Linked DNA regions of Xenopus tropicalis. The protein of the gene in region 1 purifies or fractionates together with the protein of each later gene. This does not show direct contact. Links are inferred from orthologs where the notes say so. Each region holds a gene or a part of one and is shown on either strand. Other genes may lie near its edges.

Region 1 (3,500 bases):
TTGATGAATGTTAACTGTACGCCTGCACAAAAAGCAATAAAATGTCACCTACAATAATGCATTAGAGGGAATCACTAATACCGAATGTCCCGTTTCTTGCTCAGGATACCGTGTATGGAAAATGTACCAGCGAGATTAAAGTCACAGGCCGAAAGGGTAACACGCCGACAGATGTTACGGTCAAGAGGAATCTGAAGACCTGTGACAGGTTTACACCAATCAGAGATTATGTCAACCCCCTAGCAATCATTAAAGGCATGGTAAGTCAAGACTTTGCAAGGGCTGCCCCCCTTCTCTGGAATTCGCTCCCACAAACTGTCAGACTTTCTCCCAATCTCTCTGCCTTCAAGAGATCTCTAAAAACACATTTATTTAGAGAGGCTTACCCTAATCTAGCTTAGCAACACCCTGTGCCACACCTCTCACAACTCTGGTCATGCCCATTCCCACACCTTGTGTCTATGAAACCCACTTATTGTACAGCGTTGGGGAATATGTTGGCGCTTTATAAATAAATGTTAATAATAATAATGGGTTTCTTGGCTTTAAGAAAACGAGAATGACTATGCTAGTCAATGCTATGGATTGATGTATGTATTGATCAGGCATTAAAATATTTCACTGGATTGAAGTCTGATTGTCCTGTATGGTTTTCTTCACAGAATCGTCCATTGTCTACACTGATCAGCAGCAGTCAGGTTTGTCAGTACAGCCTGGATCCCAAGAGGAGGCATATTACTGAGGCATCGTGTGCTGAGACTCACCTCTTCCTGCCCTTCTCATACAGGTGAGTAATAGAGTTGTAATATCATCTATCTATCTATTTATCTATCATGTATCTATCTATCTATCTATCATCTATCTATATATCTATCTATCAATCATCTATCTATCTATCTATTTATCTATCTCTCTATCTATCATCTATCTATCTATCTCTCTATCTATCATCTATCTATCTCTCTCTATCTATCTATCTATCTATCTATCTATCTATCTATCTATCTATCTATCTATCTATCATCTATCTATCTGTCTATCTATCTCTATCTCTCTATCTATCATCTATCTATCTACCTATCTATCTATCTATCTATCTCTCTATCTAACTATCTATTTATCTATCTCTCTATCTATCATCTATCTATCTATCTATATATCTATCTATCTCTATCTCTCTATCTAACTATCTATTTATCTATCTCTCTATCTCTCTGGGGTAGTTGGTTAGTTAGAGAGAGGCACATGGGTGACACTTAGGAAACAGGCAAGAAGAGAAGTTAAGTGTATAGTAGAAAGAGAATGTGGAAAGGTAGAGGGAATGAGAAATTCATCTAATTTTCCTGTTATTTATATAGCGCCAACACATTTCTGCAGCACTTTACAGAGATTATTCCTCATTCAAATTAGTCCTTGTCCCAACGAAGCTTACAATCTAAGGTCTCTATTGCATTCACACACTATGGTTATTTTAGTCAGAAGCCAGTTAAGCTGCCTGTATGATCTGGGAGGAAACTGGGGTACCCAGAGGAAACTCCCCGCAGATAGCTCCCTGACTGGGATTGAACTCAGGACCCCAGCACAGAAGCGCTACCAACTGAACCACCGTGCTGCCAATCCAAGTCCCAATAGGCACTGGGGTTTACTTACCAACACTGGGGAAGTTTGATTTTTGGCTGTAACCTATAAATACACAAAGTTTTCTACTTGCCATTTTTTTAATGCATCTCAACCTTTTCCTTCTCTAGAGACCAGTATGGCATAAATGGAAAAGTCACTCAGACTCTGAAGCTGGAAGATGTAGCCAAGACCAACAGCAGAGATTTTGACCCAGGTACAAAAATAAACCCATTTGAGCACTTGGGCCACAGCTTAGTAGGGGATTTTGGGACGAGATCAGAAAAGATTCAGCATTAGGTATTAGGCAAGAGAGAAGCTGGCAATACTCAGTACAAGTATTCTCTGTAGCCTTTGAGTCTTTTGAGTGTTCAATTCCTGGTAAAGACTGGGGGGCAAAATTAAGTTATTTTATATATATTTATTTATATATATTTTATTTATATATTTATATATAATCATTTTTTTAACTTTGTTTCAGACACCAGTCTGGCACGAGGCTTTGCCTTGGAGGCTACAAAAACAGTGTCCAAAAATGAAGATGCTGCATTGGAAAACCTACAGGAATTACAGAAACTATCCACGTCAGAACAGAACCAGCAGAGAGCCAGTCGCTTTTACAAGCTTGTGACAGCCTTAAGGGGTCTGAATAACGACTCACTAGGACCCCTTGTGCCCAGGCTAATGCAGCTATCCAGGTACTGGCTAGAGGTTATATATTTTGTATTTTATATACTAGCGCTTTATAAATAAAGTTATACATACGTACTTTGTTGCGTTGAATATTGGGTGGTAATTGTGCTGTAAGCAAATTGACCACTAGGTGGCAGTATGGCTTCTTATAACTTGCCCTATGTAGCATGCACATGAAGACAGCTTCAAAAGTAGATTATATTTCATATATATTTATACATGATAAGAACATAATCATTATTTTTACTAAATGTTTATGTAAATCTTGTTAAATGGAATTTAATGTGATATATCTAAAATTTCAGCCCTATTGCTCTGCAAGCATTGACTCAGTGTGGGACCCCTGAATGCTTCGGTGGAATCCTTCAGGTGCTCAGAAGTGGAGACATATCCCCAGTCATAAGTGACACTGTAACCTTCGGTTTGGGCCTTTTACCTTCTCCATGTACAAAACGTGTAAGGGAACTTCTCAACATGGCCCAGTATCAGTCAAGCAGAGCTTCGTTCTATGCATTAAGCCATGCAGTCAGCAAGTAAGACTTTTTGTTAATTCTAAATAATTTAGTCTTGCATATCTATCTATCTATCTATCTATCTATCTATCTATCTATCTATCTATCTATATCTATCTATCTATCTATCTATCTATCTATCTATCTATCTATCTATCATATCTATCTATCATCTATCTATCTGTCTGTCTGTCTATCTATCTGCCTGTCTGTCTGTCTATCTATCTGCCTGTCTGTCTGTCTGTCTATCTATCTAACAGACAAATATGTCTGTTTGCCTATAATTCTTAAACATTGTTTTTATTATTGAGAATTAAATGCTAGTACAGGTATGGGATCCCTTATCCGGAAACCCATTATCCAGAAAGCTCAGAATTACGGAAAACCCGTCTCCCATAGACTCCATTTTAATCAAATAATTCAGATTTTTAAGATTGATTTCCTTTTTCTCTGTAATAATAAAACAGTACCTGTACTTGATCCCAACTAAGATATAATTACCCCTTATTGGGGGCAGAACAGCCCTATTGGGTTTATTTCATGGTTAAATGATTCCCTTTTCTCTGTAATAATAAAACAGTACCTGTACTCGATCCCAACTATGATATAAATAATCCTTATTGGGGCAGAACAGTCCTATTGGGTTTGATTAATGGTTTATTGATTTTTTATCAGACT
Region 2 (2,908 bases), on another chromosome or scaffold:
AATCCAATCACGACTCGGCCACTAAAACTGCATGTAAATTTGGGTCCAGCGTTCTGATTCAGAAGATAAATCACCCCCCTCAGAATGACCCAGACATGCCGGCAAGATCACCGCAGAAATGGGTTCAGTGCATGGCGTTAACCCCACACGTGCCAGCGAGATCACCACAGAAATGGGTTCAGAGTATGGCATCAACCCCACAAGTGCTGGCCAGATCCCTGCAGAATTGGGTTCAGAGTATTGCCTTGCCCACACTTGCCTGTCTGCCTCTCTCTCTCCCCCCCCCCCCCCAGTGGAAGCTCTCACAAAGACAGTGGGGGCCCATGTTCCCCAGCAGGACAGACCCGACCCAGGTGGGTGCCCAGTAGCCACTCCTATTACACCCTACCCTGTATGGGGGGTCCGAGTGGTGCTCTGGTGCCACCTATATACCCACAGGTGAGGAGACATACAATAACCCCCCCCCCCACTCAATTACAAAGAGCAAAGAGACAGTCGCATTAGAGATCAGTCAGTTTATTGTCGAGACGCTCGAGCCTCCGTATTTCAATCCAACATGAAAAAAATGAAAGGAAAAAAACCCTCAGAGAATGTTTAATTTCTTTTATTCTGCTTTTCTCATACCCACAGGAGAGGGAGCGACCCAATCACAGCTGGAGAACCCTGCAACACCCTGGGGCCCCGCTGCCGCTCTATTAACCCTTTCACTGCCAGGGTGCCCGGCTACAAAGCTCCCCAGGCACGGTGGCAGCCAAAGGGTTAATCTTGGCATCGATTCCCCCAAACAGAACCAGAACCCAACAGAACCCACTTTGGATGAACAGTTGAAGGCAAAACAGCTGAAACTGGAGGAGTCAGAACCAGATCTGCAGGATCCTCCCCCCACAGGTGGTAAAAGGAGTCCAAAGTCACTCGGTGGGAGGGGCAGAACTTTCATTCCCCGCCCTCGACGCCGCGAGCACAGGGGCCGCTTGGGGGGGGGGGACGGGGAGGGAAAGGAGAGAAAAGTAAGAGTTGAAGGCGGAATCCTGAGAGACTTGGCTCTCCCCTTCTCACAGCCGTGTAACAAATCATAGGAGTGGGGGGGGTGCATCTACGCTGCCGGGACTGGGGAATGAAAAGCTGAGTGTCCATTAACGTAGGAATTTCTGCGCTGTACAACGAGGGGCGAGTCGGCCGACTCTTTAACCATACAGATCATCTTCTTCCTCGTTAAAATGGCTGCCGCCGCTGCCTCCGCCCGCTCCTTGGCTGGGACCGGCTCCACCTTGACCCCCGGCGGGAAATCTGACAGAGAGCAAATGCGCAGTTTATGTGGATGATACAAGCAATCGGTTGGGTGCCGTAAGGGTTAATATTGGGGATCAGGGTGCCGTAAGTGTTAATATTGGGGATCAGGGTGCCCAGCGCACCCCCCATGCCAGGGTCTGTAAGTGCAGTTACTCTGCACCAATAAGCACAGATAAAGCTTTTGTGCTGCAAAAATATTGTGTTTTGCCTTAGTGACTAGGGTGGCAACACATTATACAGCTGCCCATTGGGCAAGGTCACAGAGTGGACCCTTAGCGTCTCCGGTACCAGCCCCTGGCCCAGATTTGTATGATCAGAACCCCAAGCAATAACAGAGGCCTAAGGAGAGGTCACACTGGGAAATGACACCCACCAACGCACCAATCTGATCCCAACTCCTAACTAGAATTTTCTGTACAACTTTTGGCCATATATTGGTTAGGCTGGAGGGCCCCATACAGGGACCAATAAGCTGAAGTGAAGGGGCCACGCTGGCACTTGGCATAAGAGACGGCCCTCGCTGCTCAGCGTTACCTGAAGCTGCCGAATCCTCTGCTCTGCTGAAGGGTCTGTGCGAACATCTCGTATTTGCGAATGTCGTTATCGCTGACGGAGCGGCGGGCGAATCGCATGGCTTCTTCAAAGTGGTCTCTCCGGATTTCCGGTACAGGGTCGTCTTCTTCCACTTCCTGCAATCGGTGGGGGAAACAGAGAGAGGGGTCAGTAGAAGGCGAAACCCCCGGACCCCCAGGCTACGGGGGGCGCAGTGAGGCACAAACCCCAGAGACATCCTATAATACCCCCCATGTTCTGCCCCAATCACAGCGAGCGCCTCCTTACCATAGCCGAGGGGTTGGTCTGCCTCTCTCGCTCCCTTCGGATCTCATTCTCAATGGATTCCCTGATGGCCAGTTTGCAGGCACGCTGGCAAATCTCAGTCAGATCGGCACCGGAGAAACCATTGGTCATCTTGGCCAGGAAGTCAAGGTCCACATCCTGTTTAGAATCGCAGCAGGCGTCAGTAACTTACATGGAGCATGGGAGGTTTGGCCCCACAGAAACAGAACAATTAACTTTTTGTGCTGCACTTGGTTGCTAAAGCCTCCCACGACCATAGCAACCAGGCAGTGCTTTGAATGACAGACTGGAAGATGGATGGGTAATCTAAAGTCTCTATCATATACACACAAGGAACCAATTAAATGCCTTTTATTGGGTGTGGGGTGGGACCAATAAAGCCAGTTGGGCAATAAAAGGACATTCTGCCCCCTTCCTGGGTAATGACTTGCCTTGGCAACAGGAGACTTCCTAAGGTTGGCCTTCAGGATGGCAATGCGGGACTTCTCATCGGGCAGTGGGATGTAAATGAGCTGATCCAGACGGCCGGGACGCAAGATGGCGGGGTCGATAATATCTGGCCTGTTGGTGGCTCCAATGATGAAGACGTTCTTCTTTGTGGACATTCCATCCATCTCTGTGAGGATCTGGTTAATGACTCTGTCGGCGGCTCCACCACCATCTCCAATGTTGCCGCCTCGGGCCTTGGCAATGGAGTCCAATTCATCAAAGAAGAGGACACAAGGAGCGGCCTGCCGAGCCTGAGAGCAGAGGGGAAGAG

What was found. The genes of interacting proteins can lie anywhere in the genome.
Region 2: the proteins of apob (region 1) and vcp purify together in Homo sapiens (affinity purification with western blotting, with the first as the bait; 3 studies listed by BioGRID). This does not show direct contact. The link is inferred for Xenopus tropicalis from reciprocal best matches to the Homo sapiens genes APOB and VCP.

The regions. Positions count from the first base shown.
Region 1 is NC_030681.2:143,945,930-143,949,429, reverse strand, and holds part of apob (apolipoprotein B-100), read left to right. Parts: intron 1-104; coding exon 105-260; intron 261-662; coding exon 663-787; intron 788-1,748; coding exon 1,749-1,834; intron 1,835-2,098; coding exon 2,099-2,315; intron 2,316-2,615; coding exon 2,616-2,843; intron 2,844-3,500. UniProt on the Homo sapiens protein: Apolipoprotein B is a major protein constituent of chylomicrons (apo B-48), LDL (apo B-100) and VLDL (apo B-100). Apo B-100 functions as a recognition signal for the cellular binding and internalization of LDL particles by the apoB/E receptor.
Region 2 is NC_030677.2:212,815,676-212,818,583, forward strand, and holds the end of vcp (transitional endoplasmic reticulum ATPase), read right to left. Parts: intron 2,889-2,908; coding exon 2,580-2,888; intron 2,287-2,579; coding exon 2,131-2,286; intron 1,980-2,130; coding exon 1,825-1,979; intron 1,288-1,824; coding exon 1,185-1,287; 3' UTR 501-1,184; downstream 1-500. UniProt on the Homo sapiens protein: Necessary for the fragmentation of Golgi stacks during mitosis and for their reassembly after mitosis. Involved in the formation of the transitional endoplasmic reticulum (tER).